Linked DNA regions of Drosophila melanogaster. The protein of the gene in region 2 interacts with the protein of the main gene of each other region in a pairwise test. Each region holds a gene or a part of one and is shown on either strand. Other genes may lie near its edges.

What was found.
Region 1: the proteins of E(spl)m3-HLH (region 2) and CG6287 interact in a two-hybrid assay, tested with the Drosophila melanogaster proteins (one large-scale study listed by BioGRID).
Region 3: the proteins of E(spl)m3-HLH (region 2) and CG15365 interact in a two-hybrid assay, tested with the Drosophila melanogaster proteins (one large-scale study listed by BioGRID).

The regions. Positions count from the first base shown.
Region 1 is NT_033779.5:11,149,045-11,158,209, reverse strand, and holds CG6287 (uncharacterized protein), read left to right. Parts: upstream 1-2,488; 5' UTR 2,489-2,608; coding exon 2,609-2,692; intron 2,693-3,076; coding exon 3,077-3,127; intron 3,128-4,645; coding exon 4,646-4,800; intron 4,801-5,655; coding exon 5,656-5,875; intron 5,876-5,938; coding exon 5,939-6,071; intron 6,072-6,183; coding exon 6,184-6,539; 3' UTR 6,540-6,704; downstream 6,705-9,165.
Region 2 is NT_033777.3:26,018,721-26,025,052, forward strand, and holds E(spl)m3-HLH (enhancer of split m3, helix-loop-helix), read left to right. Parts: upstream 1-3,102; 5' UTR 3,103-3,299; coding exon 3,300-3,974; 3' UTR 3,975-4,407; downstream 4,408-6,332. Other genes in the region: E(spl)m4-BFM (enhancer of split m4, bearded family member), read right to left, coding at 5,315-5,773.
Region 3 is NC_004354.4:9,063,358-9,071,024, forward strand, and holds the start of CG15365 (uncharacterized protein), read right to left. Parts: upstream 4,627-7,667; 5' UTR 4,151-4,626; intron 1-4,150. Other genes in the region: CG10970 (uncharacterized protein), read right to left, coding at 6,397-6,708; CG44325 (uncharacterized protein), read right to left, coding at 7,235-7,301.

The DNA.
Region 1 (9,165 bases), on a different chromosome or scaffold from region 2:
TTTAAACTACCAGTGCCTTATAAATCCATCAAATCGAGTTACACGACAGCACTCCACCCCAGATATTCTGCATTTCCGCCGCCCCATTAGATCATTATTGACCACCACCAATCGCTAAAGTCGAATGCGTCAAAATTATTGTTCAAGTTTTGAATTGTACACGTAATGTTGAGACGATAGTCGTTGATCTGGCCCATTCCGAACGAGCACTCCTTTTACAATTCCAACCACCATGCTAAATTTGTCGATCATTAGTTGTCGAACTGAGCTAGCGCCCAACAATGATGAACCGCACTGCATTCAAATCGATCGCCACCACCTCGAGTAAGAGTCGATGTTCAGCTAGTTTTGATCTGTAAGCACACCCACAGAACCCATCCTACTGTCCAAGGACAACAGCTGAATCCTGTAACACGGGGTCAGAGTTTAGTGACAGGTCGGGCAATTTGCCCGCAGAAAAAATCTAGTACTTTTTTATATAAGAGATACAAGGTGATATAACTAATTTTCAGAAAGTAAATTTGAACAGCGCACGACAAATACAGATACCTAATTGAAATTGTTAGCCACATTCAGGAGAGGGAGGGTTTAAAAGGTCAGATGGGAGAACACCTCCCATCCCCTAGAGAATTTGAATGGGGTTGACCAAGGCACTGGAGGCGCTTTAACGAGGAACAAATTGAAATTTAAATATATAACGGAACGCAGCAAACGATACACAAGCACTTCTTGTAAAAAGTGGCAAAGCAAAATGATCTATGTATTAGCTAAACCTAAATGAAATATTACTTTTTAATACTAGCATAAAGTTAAAAACAAAACTAGATACGATCCTTTGCAGCTAAGAAGGGGACAAGCGGAAAACTTAAGTTTAAATGGTCAGTTGATGAGAAGTGTGTATGTTAGAATATTGCACATAATTCACAGAACTGGTAATTCAATATATTATAATGGTATATATTAAAAAAGATACACACATTTATAGAGCTGCATATATAAATATGTATGTATGTTCTTGCCATAATTAACAAAATTTAAACCGATAAAGATACATCAGCCGGCATTTTGTAAGCGTGAAATCCAAAAACTAATTAAAATAATATTGATTAAAAAATAACTGATTATCCCAGATATTGTTAGATACTTTCTGGTAACGGAAAGGTGAACTTTGCCATGAAAATTTCATCAGATCTGATAGGAATATGTTGAAGATATTTTGTAAGATGCCTTAAATTTCTCAACTCAAGTTCTTTGAAAGTTTTCGAAAACTAAACTTGATAAATTCATATATTCCATTACATAACCTTCTAGCAGACGGACAGAGGTCTGCAAAGAAGTAAAACTGGTTTGCTTCAAAAGTATAGCAATTTTTTTGTAATAATAAACTCTTATTTCCGATTATAATAAAACAAATGAAAACCAAACCAAGCAATTTCGATTTGTTGACACTCTTGAAAACTATAAAAAAAAAACACAAACATACAAACAAGTTTTATAGCAAGCATACTGAAACTTTAAAGATACGCCTATATATAATTAAATTTAGCGGTAATAACTTCTCTACTTTTCAAAGCCACTTAAATAAGAAAAGCAAACCTTATTTTTTTAGCCTAAATAACTTATTGAACTGGAATAGAAGGTGGAAAATTTGACAAGAGCACGCATGAAATTTCCGTAATCAATATATTATTAACCAAAGATCCCCACACCGAATACCCTGGAAAGATAAAAATGAACTATTGGTGGAAATATCAACACCGCTCCCAATTTATATAGAATATTTTATACATACAAAACATATACATATTGTAAAAAATGAGAAAAACGGTAACTAAAATCCAATCAGCAATTTTCAAAAATTGTATGTAAATAGTTAATGATATTTCAATTTGTTACCTAATTATTTTGTTAACAACTTTGTAAGATTCCTTTAATTTAATGTTAAGGATGAATACCTGCCATCACCTTGACGACATTTTGTTGTTTTCGTTTTCATTTTCCGCATTCAAATGTTGTTCACAATATGTTTTTGGAAAATACGTAGTTAAATGAAAGCTAAATTGCAAATAAAAGCAAATACAATAAAAATATTAAAAATAAATGCAGTCTTATCTATTCGGCGTGAGTTTGATTATATGGGTAAGTACTTTTTTTTGAACCCTATTAGAAAGTAAATAAATGCATAATACAATTAAAGTTAGAAAGCTTGCCATATTTTTTTACAAAAGCTGAAATTTTTAAATCATTTTTAATCACAGGGTCGTCCGTGGGTTAAAATTGTTGTTTTGCGTGCAAAAATCGAAAACAACTCACACACGCACACTCAAGAAGAACAAATCGCGCGAGAAGAAGGAGAGAACTTTAAGATCCAAGTGGCGCTCTCCGATCCTCTCAGTGGTTTGGTTATCACCCAGAAAAAACAACAATCGCACTGCACCGGCGAGAGGCATTCGAAGTCAGGTTCGATGGCCCGAGAAACCCACTCTCGAAGTCAGTTCAATTTGTTTGCTCGGCGGCGCAGATCGTGAGTTGCGGAAAGTAATTGGCAAAAATTAACGCAATCTACCGGTTGTCCAGATTTTTCAGTGTATTCATTACCCACCCAAATATGCCCCTCAATATAAGAAAAGTGCTGGTCTGCGATGCTGTGGACAAATCCTGCGTGGAGCTGCTGGAACAGCATGGGATTAAGGTAAGGTTCGCCAATCCCCTGACGTGACAGTCGATTATTTGTTGGAGTAAGCAAAAGCTTACACCCATACAAGTGCTCAAAAGTACAGTGCGCCCTCGGATAAAAATACAAATAATTAAACTAAGTATAACCACACAAAAAATGTTTTTTCGACGAAAACTAACACTAAAAAGATATTAAATATTTGAAAGTCTATGCCTACAATGCAATTCATTTAAATTAAGCTATTCGATTGCTTTTACTTATCGAGTACACACTGTATGTGAATTTGCAAGCATGTAAAAGCGCTTAGAAGTGGACAAATAGAAAATAAGTGCATTTAATTTATTGCACAATTTAATCAACGTTGTTGACCATATATTTTCCTTCTTTTTTTTTGACAAGGTTACCTACAAACTAAAGCTCCCCGTGGAGGAACTGTGTCAGGAAGTTAAGGTAAGTGGCTTAGGGATTTCAGTACAGGTAAATAAGTAAATACATACACACGTTCAGATGTATATGAACGAGTTAAGTCGCTGGGATGAAAGCTTTGCGAATGATTCAAGTGTGGTTAAAAACATGTGCAACGCTCTGAGATATGGGTGCATTGTATATGTGTGTGTACATATATGATAGTACGCGTGGGCGTTACATAATAATAACATTTCAATTAGTCTGTAACTAAGCAATCTAAGCACATCAAACCGAAAGTATATTTCAAAACTACTGCAGTATGGAGATTGTATTTAACAAAATTAAAACTAATGATAAGGAATTGACCCCTTTTTTTAACATTATCATCTTTGTTATGGAATATAGAATGTTTTTACAAATCTTATTTTCCTTGTCTCCAAACTTTAAGCCTTATTGGGTTAATGGCTAAGAGAATATTTTCACCGCAGTTATAAAGATAAAATAAACAAAAACTAGAAAAAAACATTTTGTGGCTTCTTCAAATCAAAATCAATTACTCTCATAATTTATTTAAATTTGTTTTCTCTTGCACGAAAACAGCTTTAAATTTTGACAAGCATGTTTGTCTCAATTAGTTAAACCGCTTCATGTCTGTATGGGCACGAATGCATGTTTTGAATTTTATTTGATTTAGAGACGGATACTTTTAATTGGTGATTTTATTGAATAACATAAAAGCAAATTGCAAGGGTCAGAAAATAAGTACTTGACAACAAATTTTTTTTCACGTTCGCAGAGAGAAAAAGAATTTAGTCTGAACCAAATGGTTTTTATACCCGTTAGATTCTTTGAAATTTATGTAACAGGTAGCAGGAAAGCATATAAAGTATTATATATATATTATTGATTAGATTCATTGGCCAAGTCGGTATGTCCGTCCTTCTGTCCGCCCGTCTGAACGCAAACTACCACGCCCACAATTTTGACAATTTCTATCGATATACCAAAGAATTTTTGTAATTTCGCTCGTTCGCACTCCCACAAACCAAATAACGGGTATCTGCTAGTCGAGTATCTCGACTATATTATTCTCTATTGTTCATTTTAAACTGCCCAGCATTTTAAACCACTTTTCGAAATGCACTTTCAGATTTTATTCTACAAAATAAAAAAAACTATTCCTTTTAAATGGCAATAATCTGCTGTGAACAATTGGGCCAGACATTGTTATCACCATTTATTACTATCGGTCCAATAGTTCTTATCAATCAAACGGCCGATCAGACGATGTTGCCTCAACATTAAATAAATTGTTTCCAGTAGGATCACAAATTGCCGGAAAATATCAAGAGGTTCAATAATCTTAGCCAGAAACATACATACGCCAGACGAATTGCTTTTATTTATGATAAAGTACAGGTGTTAGGTGGTATCAATCACGTTTCCAGAAGAAAGCAGTAATCGATGCCATCCAGATGGCCAGGGAAATGAGTTAGGCAATTAGATGACAAATATTTATATTTACCCAGTTGCTAATTATTAAATTACACCGCATTTCAGAATTTCGACGCAGCCATCGTTCGTTCGGATACCAAAATAACCGCGGAAGTTTTGGCCGCCGGATCCGGCAGCCTGAAGGTCGTTGGCCGTGCGGGGGCGGGTGTTGACAACATCGATGTTCCCGCAGCCACAGCGCAAAATGTCGTTGTCCTGAAGTAAGTGCTCCGTAAGCCTCCGGTGCATTGCAGGGCGGGAAAAGAGTAGCCACGAACACTATGCCACAAGACCAACTTGTATTTGTAGCTGAAAGTCTGATATAGAAAGTACAAACAGTACAAAGTACTTATTTATGGTTAATTAGAGCTCTTGCCATGCAATATATTTCATGGATATTTTACCATTCTGTTTATAGTTCAAGTTGGTAAACAATTCAATCCATTTTCGGCTCCGATTTCATTTATTTGCATTTTTAAACAGTTTCTAATTTATGGAACGAAAATATTAATTAGTTGTTCTCGGAAATGAATTTATGTAGCCCTTTATGGCAGATTTATCAATTGCGAGGAAATATTACTGTTCAGTAAAATTGTGGTAATCTCAATAATGATCATAAACATGGGTATTCAAACTAGCAGTGTTTTATGGTATGCAGCGTAGTGTAATCTCCGATGGCGCAGCTCACAAATAATTATGCGCATTCCGAATCGCAGGATTGGCAGTTGATATGCCATCCCAGCCCAGAATACCCATGACTTGGGTCAATTGACGCCGTTTGACACGCATAATTAAGGGACGACGAGTGTCGATGGAGTTGCGTGGGTGTTTGGGTGGCTATGGGTTGTGGGTGGTGGGTGCTGGGTTGGCCACATCCATGTCAGATGTCCTGGAAAGCTGGAAAATTGCCATATTTCCCACCTCCCATTCAATTCTTTTTTGGCGGAATTTGCATAATGCTGTCTAGTCACAACAAACGCCACCCATTTGCCCACCAGAAACGCTCAACTTAGCGCAACAGCTAGTGTCTAGCGAGGCATTTAGGGAATGTTTAACTAAACTCTCGTCGCTTTCAGCACTCCGGGTGGCAATTCCATTTCGGCCTGTGAGCTGACGTGCATCCTAATTGGCTCCCTGGCCCGTCCCGTCGTCCCCGCCGGTCAGAGCATGAAGGAGGGTCGCTGGGACAGGAAGCTCTATGCCGGCACAGAGCTGTATGGAAAAACCCTGGCCGTTCTCGGATTGGGACGCATTGGACGCGAGGTCGCCATTCGGATGAAGACCTGGGGCATGCGGGTGTGTTTTGAATGGGGTATTTACTTATTTTGGAATTTTAATCGAACTCTGAGTGCTTTGCAGATTATTGGTTACGATCCCATCACCACGGAGGCTGAGGCCAAGGCGGCGGGCATCGAGAAGATGACGCTGGAGGAGATTTGGCCACTGGCGGACTACATAACCGTGCACACGCCGCTGATCCCAGCCACCAGAAGTAAGTCGCGCATTGATAGAATATTTATAAGAGATTAAGAGATTAACATTTAACAGCAGTATGCATAAAATTCAAGCTAAACTATATAGATTTCTTTGCTGAATCCCATCAGATCTCATATCGGCGGAGACACTGGCCAAGTGCAAACAGGGCGTTAAGGTGGTGAATGTGGCCCGGGGCGGCATCATCGACGAGCAGGCCGTGCTCGATGGCCTTGAGAGCGGAAAAGTGGCCGGCGCGGCCTTCGACGTTTATCCCGAGGAGCCGCCAAAGTCTGCGGTCACCAAGGCCCTCATCAGTCATCCCAAGGTGGTGGCCACGCCGCATCTGGGCGCGAGCACTTCGGAGGCGCAGGTCCGTGTTGCCGTGGAGGTGGCGGAGCAGTTCATCGCCCTCAATGGAACCTCGCCGAAGTACACCAGTTATGCGGGCGTTATTAACAAGGAGGCACTCGCCCATTACCAGTGAAGCAAATCGAATATTCACAACCATCAGCACATTCTAAATTCGATATTCAGCATTTATAAATAAATAAGTTTACAACCAGGGATGTAAACAACGTAAAAACCAAAATACACAAGTAAAAATAAAAAGAAGAAGAGTTTTCTTAAAATACTCTCAGATCTAAATATTTATATATGTATATTATTATTCCTAGAAAGTTACCATTTCAAGGTATCGAAATGCTACAAGGACTTAGACGAAAGCTGACTTGTTTTCCGAATTTCGTACTACCGTTTTGTATTTTGATAAAAAAAAATCAAGGCTTTTACCAGAAAGCAAGTTTAATGTTGATTTTACATATAGCCATTCAAGGAAAAGCGGAGTTTCAGTGAACTTTCCTGCCAACTTTTGTGTGTCATAATCTTCAGCATGTGCGAATACGTTCAACTGAACCAACATTGCCAGGTGAAAGTTCATTTATGGCAAAGGCACCACTTGATATTCTTAAACAATTTAACAAATTTAAAAGAGACCAGTAGTATGATACTTATTCTGATTCAATTGCAGCAGCTTAATGGAAAAGCGCTCCATTTAAAGAAGAAATTCATAAATTCTGCAACAGAATCACACAATGGGAGCTCATATAATGGACAAAAATGTATATGGAACTGTGAATTCTTTTTCCCTGGAAATGAGGAAGATATTGGCAAATAGCAATAAAAGAATATTTCCTGGCTGAAAATGGTTTACTTATTGAATAGCTGTAGCAATTTATGACAAATATACGTGATTTATGTGGTGAAAATAGCTTTGGAAAATGAAAACGAGACAAAATGGTTGTGAAATGAAATATTAAGTGATGTTAAATGTATTAAATCAATTGCGGAAGTGCAAGACCCATTTTCGCTTGTCCTGTCTTCATTCCAATGCAAAAGGAACTTATTCTGTCAATGCATAATTTACGACACAGGAAGTGCCAATTCCGTATTATTGTATGCAAACGTGAAGTTTCACAAGATGATATGAATTGTCATGGCTTCTCTGGACAACTCATAAAAGGAGTAACGTGCCATTGGAAACTAGGAGAAGTTAAAATTAAATTTTCATTTCAATCAGCTTATATGTCGGCTTAACTGGAATCAAATTGTGAGTCGGCATTGAAATTGAACTTGGACCTTTGGAACACGCAAAAAACAAATAGAAGGTGAATATTCAAATACAATGTGAATGGGTGTATGGTTACACTTCGATATGCCTAAGTACAATTACACTTGAAGAAATATGTGATACACATATATGAAGAAAAACTTTTAAAAACTAAAATTTATGTGTAATACAACTTTTATTATTATCCGTTAAAGAGCATGTGCTCTTAGCAATGCAGTAAAAATACGTCTTCGCAAGTACTTATGGCATTACAACGCTGTTCCGCACTGTATCGCAAATTAATTTAGCTAATTACTTCTCACATGGCATTACAAATGAAAGACTAAGACAGGTGCTAAGCAAACGATAGCCTGTGTTGTGAGGGCCCGTTGAGAGTTCTAATGGCTTCTTAAATTGGAAATCGAAACCAAAGGAATGGAGATATTTGTCAAAACGTAATTAATGTTAACAGGAATAACCTCTATTCAAAATAAGTCTCAGGTTCCGCAATTCTCGATACAATAAGCCAAAACATTTTCCCCCTTGGAGTTCCGACTAAAAGCCACATCCACCCCTTTGCGGCCAGTTAAGCTAAGGATTACGGATTGCGCCGGCAAGCTCGAAAATAGCCACCGAAATTCACAGTTCGCTGTCCTTGAACTTGAAAATCTACAACGCAACACGATAAAGGGTGTCCTCCTTACTCTCAATAGAATATGGGTTAAGCATTTCTTGTTTATCCGCCATTTTGTTGTAGAACCTCAAGCCCAAGCACTTTATTATGTCAAGTTAGGGTTTAAAAAGACTTATGCACAATTACGTTCGGAAAACTCGTCAACAAACAAAAGTATTAAAAGGCTGCCAGGACCATTAGTCCTGAAAACCCAAAGCCTGCTACGCAATTTGACAGCCCAAAAAACAAAAGATTATTCCCATAATTGACTGTCAGACTGCATGAGGATGTATTATTGCAATTTGGGGAATGAAAATCGATGATAATCAGGAAGAGGAAACGAATTGTGCTCAACACCCGTGATGCTCGGTCAAGTCGTCACTGGGGTCACTCTAAACTTGAATCGAATCATTTTTGGCTGCCAAGAGGAACAAATAAACAAAGTCCTTAGCATCCTGTCGAATTGTCCAACTGACCAACGGCATCAGACGCCCACTTGTCCCGCTCGTGATCCCCGAGGCTCTGCCGATGCTGTCATTCATAGACCACTTAATTCTGGCGCGTCCTGCTGGCCACCCATAAACCACCCACTGCTACTCTTCGGATCTTCGGGAGTGCGGAACCAATGCGCATTCCTCCGAGGCACACGAGGCACGGAGGCTATAAAAGCAGGACCACGGGTAACACGAACACAGTCTGCCACGGACTACGGGCGCGTTAATTTGCCGTAACGGAGCACGGAAAAACGGAGCAACAAGTTTAACTCTCAGGCTGAGATATACGCACACCTGTTGGGATAAACGAGCCATGGGATTTGACTAAACAAATGAC
Region 2 (6,332 bases):
CGGATGGCATAAGTATGGGTATGCCATGGCAATGGGCATGGCCATCGGTATGGGGGATCTAATGAGGCCGTGACCTCATTCAGGCAGCAAGTCCTTGCCGGATCGCAGGTTCCCACACTGCACAACAATCGGAGTTAGCTGCCATAACTAGTTAGGCCAGCTCAGCTACGAATCGGGTTTTAATTTTCTTCATATATATATTTTGTGCCCGAAACTCGTGCCAATCGCGTGTGCACCGCACGCTTGCGCACCAGAGATCTCTCGACGCGACTTGACTCTGTTGCCTTTGGCCGCTATTAATCTTGGCTGAAACACCACCAGCACTTCCCTTACCCCACCAGCCCGCGCACTTTTGCCCCCAATCAGCGTCTAGGCTTTGAACTGCACGTTTGCCAAATTGAAAGCGACTGACTTGGCAACACGGACACCGGCTGAGACTCCAACTCGTAGCGCGACTTCCAAGCCAGCACCGACTCCAACTGCGATTGCGATTGCAGCTCCAACAGAGGCCAGCTTGTGCCTGGGCTTGTGCCTTTCAGCAACGGACTCTGGTAGTCGTTAGGCGATTCATACTCTCTCTTATATGGGTCTTTGGGACATATGAACATAGATTCAGGAAGATATGACTTTCATGATATGCTAGGAAACTGCTGTTATAATATTAATATTAAATATCATATGTTTACTTAAAATTTTTTAATTTACAGACTAGTACTAGTTATCTTAATGGGGACTTAATGTAATTTATTATATCTCTCAAGAGCATTGGCAATTCGCTAATCGATGACCCGTCAAGACTGCCTTTACCCATCAGCAACTATTTGGCTTTTAAGCTTTTGGTTCACACGACTGGCGATGGCAACAAGTTTTGTGCAAAACTATATATACATCGGCAGACAAACAGACGGGCATATATGACAAGCAATTAGTGTGCATTGAGGTTAGTCGAAAATGGTTTTGCGGTCTCTCTATTTCTGTCCATCGGTGTCTGCGTGATTATTTTGCATATTCGCATTACTCATACGCCACGTGTGCCGGTCGAGTTGAAAGTTGAGGCATCTTGAAAGGCGAACCATCGAAATGCCTTGAGAGTCTTAATTGTTATGGCTCCAGTCAGCAGAAAGGCAAGCCAAGTCAAGCCAAACGGCTAACGGAAGTCATGGCCAGAAGACAAACAAACAGAGCGATTCTGCAGCATCATGGGAAATGCTTAGCCAGGCAAAAAGCACGGCCACAAAAAATAACTCCGAGGCGTCCAACCACAAGTGTCATATTGCTGCGATGGTGATAAAGTCGGCCCAACAGCAGCTGTGAAAAAAGGGGCATAAAAAACAGGCAACATTTTATACACTCAGTGCTGACCAGTAGCCCTGAGATCAGCGAATTAAAAGAAATATGTGGAGGACGGGCGAAAAACGAATCTTAGAACGACAACCGGATGTTAAAGTTTATTACGAAAGGCGACAAATGCCGAAGGGTTGGTAATCGGACTATGCAAAAAGAGTTTTATTTCTTTCATTTTGGAACCCCCAATGCGCCGAGATAGCGAAACTGTTACACTTAATCGATACGCTTCAACGAAAAGTCAACCCACAGCCCCAGCCATAGTGGTGGTTGTGCACTGTGAGAAATATTTGAAAACTTAAAAAAAAAAACTGATTACATTTGAATTCGGTTATAAGTAAAATATCAAAATATATATATTTTCCATTCTTCCGAAATGGGGTGATCTATATTTATTGGTAATTAACATAGTTGCTGTTATTGAAATTGTTTCAAATCTACTTTAAACTCCCAAAAAGACCGCACATTTTGTCCACGTGCAGTTGTCGCAGTCATCATCATCAGCCAAGCATGCGACATAATTGCGCGAGTTAAGGCTGCCCCTCCACCCAGCCATCCCTCACCAGTTCGCCCACTGCCCCCCATTGGCGGCTGACAGTCAACCCGCTTGAAATCAACCAGCAGCAACAGCAACAACATTTCAGCAATCCATCGGATCGCATCACAATCCAGCCATCCGTCCAACGTGTGGGAAACACACGACAAATCTGTTTCCCACGGTCTCGTAAAGTAGGCACACCGCACACACACACAAACACCCATCCCCATCCACTGAGCCATGGGACCCACAATCACATAGGCTACTGCCTCGTAGGCTCCCTCGTGTCTCATTCTCATTGTTGGTGTGAGCGGTACGGAGCAGCGGACTTCGACAGCGAATGGGAGCCGAGCACTGTCATCATTGACAATAAGTATGACATGGATGAGGGGGGATGGAGGGCGGGGTGGAGCGGCCTGAGAGACACGCGCAGTCGCCGAGAATGAGATCCAATCCGAAAGCCGACTGTCGACTGCCGACTGCTCAGTTTCCCTCTGGCCATGCAATCAATTGAAGACGACGCGCGCCAGAGCACCAAAGCTGCAGATACAGATACATTTGTATCTGCGGCGGGGCACGCTCTCGCTCGCTCCCATTGCATGCACCTTGGTTCGAAGTCGACTAGTTTCGGTTAATAATACTAATTTTGGACTAATAGTATTACTTTCAATAAGCAGATTTTACGAAAATAATTGCAGTTTTATTAACTTTGTAAGTGATTAATATTTTTTGAAATTGCTTTCTTTCAGGTCTTAAAATTTAGCAAATTTTTAAATCGTCCTTTTGGTTGAACAATTATGTTGCATACTTTTGAGAGTCATATAAAAAATAGTTGTAGCAAAATATAAAGAACACAAATTTAACACTATTGGAAATGAAAAATATTGATATTATATTCGCATTGCTAAAATGGATTATTTCTTATTTTTTATAATAAGCATAATTAAGAAGGTAAAGAGTTCCATGGTGATGGTCCCACTGTACCCCCTGCAGACGGTACAACCCCCATCATCGATGGCCTACAGTAGCCTCTCTTTGTGCCGCTGCCGAGCGCCGCTACCGATCCGCGACCGAAAAGAACCGAAGTGGAACTCGATCTTGGGCCCGAGTGCCTGGGAGCGTGTGTGAGTGATCATGCGGGAGCTTTGTGGCCGGGAGAGCCTGATCCCCGTTTGCCGGGAGAGCGTGGCTGTCATATAAAAGTAGGGCTGGGAACTAGTTTGCCACTCATTTCGTAAAAGTGCCGCCACTCGAACGCACCGCAATCGGTGGAACGCGCAACGCACGCGCAACAAACTCGTCAAAAAGTAACCAATCTATGAAACCAACCAAAATCAGTAGTGATAATGTGCAGTTGAGAGACTAAATACAAAAGAACAATCCTTAAAATACACAACATAAAACAACCCAATCGATCATGGTCATGGAGATGTCCAAGACGTATCAGTACCGCAAGGTGATGAAGCCGCTGCTGGAGCGCAAACGGCGAGCCAGGATCAACAAGTGTCTGGACGATCTCAAGGATCTGATGGTGGAGTGCCTGCAGCAGGAGGGCGAGCACGTCACCCGGCTGGAGAAGGCGGATATCCTGGAGTTGACCGTGGATCACATGAGGAAACTCAAGCAGCGGGGTGGTCTTTCGCTGCAGGGAGTAGTGGCTGGTGTTGGCAGCCCACCCACCTCAACCAGTACCGCCCACGTGGAGTCCTTTCGCTCCGGCTATGTGCATGCTGCCGATCAGATTACCCAGGTCCTGCTGCAGACACAGCAAACCGATGAGATTGGGCGCAAGATAATGAAATTCCTATCGACGCGACTAATTGAGCTGCAGACGCAGTTGCTCCAGCAGCAGCAGCAACAGCAACAACACCAGCAGCAGCAAATACCGCAATCATCAGGCCGCCTAGCCTTCCCGCTGCTGGGAGGATATGGACCGGCAGCCGCCGCTGCCGCCATTAGTTACAGCTCCTTCCTGACCAGCAAGGACGAACTGATCGATGTGACATCCGTCGATGGCAATGCGTTATCCGAGACGGCGTCGGTTAGCTCGCAGGAGTCCGGCGCCTCTGAGCCCGTCTGGAGGCCCTGGTAATTGGGCGTGCCCAATATGGATCTTATCCCTAATATTATAATCGCAACCCAAAAAAATGGCTATTGACCGTTCTGCAACAAGATCCGTTGTCTTCCAAAGTAAATCATATCAACCTAAGTTAATTGAGGTCTAATCGATTTCTGAATGGTTTTGAAATACTTTTAGTTTTAGTTCCGATAATGGTAATTTGTAAATTAATTGTTTAATTTCAACTGTGATATAACTAAAGTACGTTGATCAATCAATCAGTGAATATATATTCGAGTGCGCTATTTTCCTACTCCAAAAGTTCCCTAAGTTTAATATCTCGTTGCGCTCTCTTTATTGTTTAGCATATATTAAGCTTTAAATAATTTATAAATGTTAATTTATGATTAGTTGAGAAAGAATAATCAAAAATACACTACCCAAATAAAATAAATGATTTAAATTGAAAACACAATGTTTTTCTTTTGCGGGATTTCAAAATTTTATAAAATATTTATTTTGTTATATTAATAAATATAAACAAACTGAACGATATTATGCAAACCTAACGGAATACTGTTCATTCTTGTCCCAGTCCGCCAATGTTGTTTACTGCCCCAATAAATTACCTTTAATTGAACATCACCTCAAATGTATGCAACACATTTTCGACTCGACCCTGATTCATTCCCATAAGCAGATCATCTAATTGGAGCCTGTTCTTACCACCAATCTGATCGGCAATCAACAGATCCTCTCTACCTGCCCGATAACTGGTTGGCATTGTGGTCCAAATCAACAGGCCAAACAACAACCGTCAATATGCACTACCTGCTGGCAGGTAAATTGATCAACAATAAGACCAAAAAAGGTTCAGGATCGAATCGGATTAGGGTCCGCTCGTTTTTCAAATGAGTCATGCCAATTAAGAAAGGACTTCGCTCCCCATTTATTTTCTGTGTTGATTTGTAAACGGAAAATTGTTGGAACAATAAGGGGGAAACAAAGAATTTAGATTCCTATTCAATTATTTTTTTTTTGGGTGAAATGTAACACAATTTTTGGTAAAGATTACCAATTTCCAAATGTGTGATTTAAGAGAAGGCCCATTTCATACGATTTATCAATGATTAAAAGTAAAAAAAACAGTGGTTGATTTCATTTAAATTGTATATATATTTTGATTTTTTTGTGTTTGTTAAGTAAAATGTATCACAATTTTTGTAAAGCTCTTCAGTTGAGTTGATCGGCTTGCGTGTTAATTTTTGTGGAATGGTTTCAAAAATTAACGGAAGACGTTGATTAAAGCTGGAGATCCAATGGAAGACATAGTTGCCGGATGATGGATGCAGGTTGCAGGACGCTGATATTTTTTAGGCCTGAACCCAACGATCCTGGGGGATAGCGATGGCGTTGGAGGTGCTGCAGTAGAGGGGCTCGACGAGGTCGTTGTCGGCTGGCAAATCGGAGACGGCGGTCCAGAAGAATGTGCCGTGAGCGGTGCGGACGAAGTGAACGGGAACGGTGGGCAGTTGCTCGAAGTCGTAGTCCTCAATTTCGCAGGACTGGGAGAGACGCTCGTTGGCCTCGTTCTCGCAGGACTCCAGAGAGGCGCAGATGGAGGCGGATTCCAGATCGGCGTTGCGGCTGTTTTCCATGGATTCCAGAGACTCCAAAGAGTTGGCCTTGAGGGCGTTCTTGAGGTTCTGCTCCTCCTCGACGCGCTGTTGCTGCTTGAAGATCTTCTGCAGCAGTTTCTTCACGCTGTAGGACAGCTTCTTGTTCGATTTGATGGTCATGGTGTTGTTGGTGTTGATCTTGTTCTGGCACATGATGATGTGTTTTGGAATTTTGTGTTTAGCTGCTGTGTAGCTGAGATGTGTACTGTACGAAGCGTTGAGCTCGAATGATGCCTGATCCTCCGAGCCAGGGTCCTTTTATACTCGCCAGGACGTGGAGAAACCCGAAGCCGAGCAGGTCACAAAACACCGAGTGTGGGAAACTACAAGGATACGTGTCCCGAAAAATCCTATACACAGTGCGGATACATGGCGAGGCAACAACAAAAACGGCAGGTGTGTTTTTCGAAAAGGGACTGCATCGGCATTAACCTGCGTGCGTCGGAGTGTGACGGCATGTAGTGTCGCTCCGCTCGCACCTGTTGAAGGTGCGGGCAATTTTATCCTGCTGCAGGATCGTGAGAAACGAGACTTTCTACCAGTTCCCACAGTTTCGGTTCGAAAGGATCCTTTTTGACAAGGAGATTCGTTTTTTTCCCTTTTTCTGCCGATCACTTTTGGTTTTTATGTGCACTTATCTCATTATGTAGGCAGTGCGAGCGGGACGGACAATGATGGAGCCGGGGGGCGGGGGAAATCCGTTTTCCATTTC
Region 3 (7,667 bases), on a different chromosome or scaffold from region 2:
AAATACACACTAAGTGAAAGAAGACATTGCATTTCTAGCAGCCCAACAGATTTCTTCATTTCAAAGAAAGTCGTCAAGTGCTTTTCGGTTTGATTATATATATATATATATATATATATATATATATATGTATAAATAGCTTCTTTTCATATACTACTGCCCTCCCTTTTTCGCACTGTGCAGCTGCTCCGCAATCTTTGGACGTGGGAAAGTTCGCCCACGTTTTTCTTTTTATTTTATTTTTATTTATTTTCTTTTTTTTTTTTTTTGCTTCTTTTTTGGATTTTTATTGTGCGATCTTGGATCTAGGATCAGAGTCCGATCCAAACTGCCCAGTTGTGCTTGGCTGGATCAGTGAAAGCTCGCATGCGGCATGTGGCAAGTGGCATGTGGCATGACGACCACTTGGATGTGGAGCTGGAGCTGCTCTGCATTTGTAATTGCCCGGGTTGCTTTCTGGCCGGATATCGCAGGTTAATTGAGCGAAAAAAAAAGCGCGAAAGGCAACAGCACAGTGTATGTATCATAAAAACCCGATTTGCATGTTTTTTTTTTTTTTTTTTTTCATTGGCCATTGGCCAAATGTGGTCAAAAGCCAAAATAAATATGCTGGGCCCAAGTATTCACCTTAAGTATATGTATTATGCGAGAATTTTGAAACATTACGCCAACGCTAGGGCAATAATTTAAGGTCAATTGGGCCTACAAAGCCGACTCGGTTTGCTATATATAGCGAAAGAGCTCCAAATAACCATTCTTCGAGTTAGTTTTTTGTGTTATTTTTTGTGTTTTTTTTTTTCTCGATTTTTGGCAGCCCGCATTCACGGGCCATTCAAAAAACACTCGAAAGACCCCAAAAGTTATAGATGGATAGTTGAATGGTTGGTTGGATGGATGGATGGATGGATGGTCTTGGATTTGGATTTGTATTTGGATTTTACGCTGTGGGTGTATTTGTGATATTTTTGTATGGTTTTGTTCATTTGTCGGCTGGTAGAAAGCAACGAGCGGAGCAGCAGTAACCCGTTTAAGTCTCATGAATAGTTATTCCAACATTAACCGTAACAAAAAATGCTCGGCAACAAAATTAAAAATACCTTTTGCCATGCAAGTTATTAATGAGTTATCTGCCTTGGTAATTGTTATTTTTTTTATTATTATTATTTTTTTTTTTTTTTGCCTTTCTCGCTTTCAAGATATATGTACGTATGTATATACATTTAATTTTTTTTTAAGGGGGGAAATGCAAAAACATGAATTAATGCAGCAAATGAATGGTGAGAAAATCTGTTAGCGAAGTGAGTAATTAAATGCAATGCGATAAGAAGTTCAACTTAATGAATGTGCAGTGAGTGAAAGAGTGAGGATTTACAGTTTGATGGAAGAGGCAAACAAATGTTGTTTAATAGCAGTTGAAACTAATATAATTTATATTTCAGCTAATGAGTGAAGCAAAAAACTGAACACACGCTTTATATTCAAATGAAGTACGCAGTTCACTCAGTGAATTTATGTGAATAAACTCCAAATTGCTTGAGTTTTTGATAGAACAAGATAGAATTGAATCTAAAAAAAAAACACACTTGCACATCTACTTTTGCTGCCAATTTCGCGTTAACTGCCAATTAAGAAGCCATTAAGTGATCTATTGGCTAACTATTGCATACAAAGTGGAAACTATTTGTTTGAATGCATAATGATTGCAACACGATTCAATCAAATGAATCACGATGGATAACTATGTGTAAAATGGGGCTATATAAAAAGCAGATTGTGCGGGCAATAAAACAACAGGAGCGTGACCTTTATTATGAGTAATAGATATTTGTATAACGAGGGTGTAAAATATTTCATTCGAATAAAGGTTAGGTTCATTTATCTATGCTTTATGACATATATTACCTAATTGCGCATACATAATTACAAAAAAAATATATACTTATACCAAAAAGCAAATAACATGAATGTAACGAATATGTTGTTAAATCAATAGTTTTGACCCCATTCCTCAAGCAATTCGGCCCATCAATCATTGTCAATAAACTGAAGTGTTGATTGAGGCCTTAATGAGACACTTTTAATTATTTGCCAAATAATATTGTTTGTAGTTATCCTGTTAACCAAAACTAAGGTTGTACTTCAATTTAATTAAATCTAAACTGTTTTGCCATTACTCTTATTAATTAATACATTTATCGATGCTCTTGTTCAGTTGGATTTCCTCGAAGAAATCGCGATTTTCTCAATGGCCCGCCGGCGTTGATGACCTGAATCTAAGTGGGCATAGCTGGCTGGCTATATGGCTATATGGCGTTGTGGCCACATTCGTGGCCCAGTCGCTCCGAGCCAGCTTCATCTGCACTAAGCCACGTTATCTTCTTTCACTTGAGCTTCACCTACATTGGAAGGCCGAGTGGACGGCGGACGGTATCAAAAGTGATCATAAATCTTTATAACCTGTATGCGCTGGATTTTCACCAACTGGCTTTTTTCTTTCCTTTTATTTGGATGGGGGGTATGTGGTACTCTCTTCTGGGTTCTGTTGTGTGTTTTTTTTTTCACGAAACTAAAAAGTGAATTTCTGCTCTTTAGCCTTCAGCCTCCTCCGCCGACGATCCCCTGTTTTTATGTTATTTTTTTTTTCATTTCTTGTTTTTTTTTTTTTTTTTGTTTTTCATTTTTTCCTGCCAGTTGACGTTTGTGTGTTTTTTTGTGAATTTACTCGTATATATATTTTTTTGCGCGCACTTGGCCTTAATTGCGCATGCGCGCGCACTTTCAATTCCTTTGGGGCTCGCAACAAAGAAAATGAAATAAGACAAAACATAACACAACTAAACAAAATCGTGTGGCAAATTGTGGCCGGGGCAGAAATTAGATTTCAAGCGCGGCGATAATGATGCGGCAGAGTAATAATAATAATTTTTAAAGGGGCCTCGAGGAGGGGCCAAATCCAAACGAAAATTGCTCTCAACCCAAAAGCAGATTGCACAGTGAACAAAAAATCAGGTCTTTGTCAAATATATTATAGAATATTATTCTAAATAAGTAGTATTTCACTTACAAAAACATATTATATTGCCTTCTGTTTACTGCATTCACTAAGGATATTCATAAACTTTATATATGAGTATATTTAAAATAAAGATCGTTTTTTAAGAGGTATCTAGGGGATTGTTAGTGATCTATGTATTTCACTTGCATATTTATTAGAACCACTTTATTTTTCTGCACTTGACATTTCAACATAAAATCGCTGAATTCCGTCGGAACGAATTAGAGATTTTCCAGGTAAAATAAAGCGATTTAAGGCCAAGTGCAACTGGCCAACCCAACCCAGTAAGCAACTCGGCCACTTCGGCGACCATTATCCATTATCCATTATCCATTATCCATTATCCATTCCCCCCGGGTAGAACCCGCAGTTTCGGATAGGTCAAGTATATGCGGCACTTTATGGGCTTTACGAGTGTAAAAAAAAAGCAAAAAAGCAAAAGATTGAGAAGAGAAAAGAGCTCAAAGACAGATACTTGCTTATTTCTAGAGGCTGACCAGAGCATCTTTTTCATCTTTTTTTTTCATATATATATATATATATATGTATATATATCTACTTTTTTCACCAGTTTCGTATATATTTTCGCTGTAGTTTTTGTTTTTTGCCTGTGGGGCCAACAGGTTCGCTGGCAGTTGGGAAAAAGTCAAACGGCTCAATAATCGAAGACGACGGCTCAGAGTTTTTGAGTCCGCGACTCCGAACTTCAGCTCTTTGAGTCCAGATAAATGAGGACAACAACAACAGCGACAACTTTAAAGAGGTTGTGCGTGTGCCTGTGTGTGTGTGAGCCAGCTGGGATAGGCACACTGTGCGAAAAGAGCATGTACTACTTTGTTCTAATCAAGCTAGGCAGGTCGAATTCAAATTGATTTTAGCACGTTTTCAATTTCAAATGCCACATAATAAATATATTATTATGTTTAAATCTTACAATTTTCAACATATTCTATTATTTTCTGTGTACTCCATTCGAATTAAAAAAATCAGCGAAACCAAAATAAACGAAAAATCAGACAGCAACAAGAAAAAAAAAATACGAAAATATTTTAAGCCCAACGAAAGAATAACAAATGAATGGAAATATTTGCTCACCTCTTCCTTTGGTTTTTAGTGCCTTGTAATCGCTGTTGTTGACTCTTCAAATGTGTGTGTTTTTATATTTTGTAAATTTTCTTGGTTTTTTTTTTTTTTTTGATATTTGTTTATTGCTTGCCCGCTTGATGTGGCTGCATTATATTTCAGCTGTTGCCGCTGAAAGCCAACGGAAAGCAGGCAAGTTTTCAAATTTGCACAATGAAATTGATTTTACAACGCGTAAAATTCCACAAATTATGCACGAAATGCGTTTTGAATTGCACTCAGCCACCACACTCGAAAAAAAGGCTGCCATTCACCGCTCGCCGCGAAGCGTAGCCCAAACCCCCCCAAAAAAAAAAAAGAAAAACTAAAAAAAAAAAACCGTTGCACGCCTGCGCTTTTCAAAAATCTTCCCAGTTCGCTTCGAAACTTTCATCCGCAACGTTGGCCCTCCGTCGACGACTTTCGCGTTCCAGCGCTCAAAGCAAACTGAGCTGCAGAGCGTCGGAATTGGAAGCAGCGAACGGCGACTGCGACGCGACTGCGGCGCGCCGGCGATCAGAGATGAGAGCTTAGCTTTTTTCAAAAGCTTATAAAAAAAAGAGTCATCTTCGAAATGACATTCTCATTCGATTGCAAACGTTTATGTGTACGAATTACTTGAAAATTGAAGAATATAACTTGTACTTTAGAGATTCATGCAGTTATTTAACTTGTTGGCTAAGGATTCAATCACTTTCATAAGCATATTTTCCAAAAGATCAATGTATTGTGTACTAAATGTAGTAGCTGTTTCTCATACTCTTTACTTTTTATAACTTATAATTATACTAATTATGCTTCTATTGGTGTTATGACGTACAGTCAGCACTGATTGCTTGCGAATCGGATTGGCAATCATTGTCGCCGTTCTTTCCGGTTTGCTGGCGTTGCCACAGCGCTGCAATTAAGCGGCTAATTCTGATTTTGGATACCGATTCGGATCCAGACTTGGGATTCAAACATATGTATAAACATATATGTTCGCGGCAACCGCATTAGTCCAAGTCGCAGTCGCCGCCTAGGTTAATTTCCCTCAATTTTGTGGCTTTTCGCATATAGGTTCATTGCTTACATTCATAGATACACAGCGAGAAAATTGTATTACTTACAGATAATTCTTTAAAATATTTAATAGTATTTGATATTTAATAGTATAGTATTTAAAATTTAATAGTATTTAATATTTGGTTAGTTTCTTCACTGGAATATATTTGAACCTTAAGATTTCTCAGGAGGAAGGATTTTTATACCAAGGATTTTTTAATTTCCTCTGTGTAAAACACACTTGGCTACCTGTTGCACACACACACACACACACAAATTCTAGTAATGGCCGTCCGCAAATTGACCCATAAAATTGTAACGTTGCTTGAGCCAAGATAGTTTAGCTGTCCATATATCACTGCAGATACACGACACTGGCCTACAAAAGAACACTTTGATAATTCCCCCCGATGTGCAGTGTTGAGATGGTAACGTTTTGTGCTTAGCCGACTAAGATGATCTTCTTAATATAGAAAAACTAAACTTCAAATCTACCACTTCTCACTGGCCTGTTAACCAGTGCTATTTGGTTGAGAAGTCTGGAACTCAGTGAATCGGCAGTTGTATCCGCGAACGCATAAATAACCATCCGTGGCTATATGTTCGCTGTTGTCCAGTGGTACACCTTCATCGTGTCGATCGAGGTGGCGATCAGATTCTTCGATTTGCATGCCAAACAGCCGGGAACATCGCTAGCTTACTACGAGTATATGCATCCGAGGCATGCGATTCGATTTGATATCCGATCGCCGGCGGCGATGGCCACAAGGTTATCCCCTCCCACGGATCATGGACATCATTAGCTCATTCGTCACGATCGCAATGGGTCCTAGAACCAACGATGGAGTACTCGTAAGTGAGAATCCATGGGTCATTTGGAGAATTGCCCAGATCCAGCAATCGCAACAATAATCATTCAATCCACAATGAGCCCATGAAAAGTTTGGCATTTTCATACAGGTTCTTCTCTTTGGGAAATTGCTTGTTGTATAAATCAGCTCTTTAGGAAACTCTTTTGAATTTGTGATTATATAACTGTGTAATTTTTATTTGGAAAATACCTTGTTATATCCATACAACAAAAATATTAGACAAATCATAATGGATAAAACTTTTGATAGCCGTTTTAAACAAAATTATGCATTGGAAATATTTTATTTTGTTTGATCCTTTAATCACTTTAGGTTCACCTTGATTTCGAAGGTCTTGTAGGTGTATTCCTGGATGACTTTCAGATTCTTAATAATGAACTCCTTGATGGCCTGCACGTAATCGGCGGCGGCCAGGATGAGCTTCTTAAAGGCATCGATCACCTTGCCCTCGCCCTCCAGACGACCCTTGAACTTCTCCTCCGACACCTGGGCAATGAATCCCCGCAGTCCCAGTGCATTGGCCTGGACCAGTGCAAACAGCTCGAAAGCATCCTTGGGCACCCTGCCACGCACCTCAAAGTCACAGCACAAGATCTCCTCCTTTTGGCCTGCCATCTCGAGTAAGATTGAATTTGCCAAAAAAAAAAAAAAAAAAAAAAACAGGGTGTACAATATGTAGTTTCGAAGGTCACACAACCACTCGATTGACTTGATGGCAAAGTCTCGGCGCTCTGTGACCCTGACTTTGAACCTCCAGATCCGATCGTAATTGCCTCCAATTATCGTGTATCCATAATCGCCACAAGAAATCAGCGGCAGCAGGTTACATTTCCAGCAAAAAACAAAACAAAACAAACAAACCCTCTTGTAAACTTAGCGCAAGTTTTTAGTTAAACAACAAAAGAAAAAAATGTGTAAATAGCAACATAAAAACAAAAAAGGGGATAGAGAGAAACATACAAAGTATAAACAAAAGTAAATATATAAATCACAAGGCGGTTTCAAGTCTTTGGCGTTTTGTATGTGCATCCGAATCTTTGTATCTTAGTATCTTTGTATCTTAGTATCTTTGTAGCTTTGTATCTTTGTATCTCAGCGGCTCCGTATCTCTATGCTTTGCATCTCTCTTAGCAGGCCCATCCTAAAAGCGATCTATCTCGACTTTATTTTTCCTCGACTCCTCCGCCAAAACGGGCACCTCCTGCCGTCTGCACATATTTATGTACATTTTTTCACAGAGTTGTCATGCGGATGATAAAAATAAAAAAAAAATAATTACAAATTATATAAATTGCTTAATTATGATAAGCTTGTGGCACGACAACAACACAGCAGCAGAACGAAGAAAAGTTGGCAACGGGCAAAAGCAACGAATGGGGGCAATACTCTTTAATAGATGCAACATATACGCGCAGCACTCTCAATTTTTTATATGCAAAATTTGACAAGTCAAAGAAATATCTTTTAAATGCGCATGCGACATGCATATAAGTTAAGTATTTATGTTGTAAGCTTCTTATTGAAAACTTCTAGTTAAATAAACAAAGGGTTTATCTGGTGTTAATTGAAGCGCT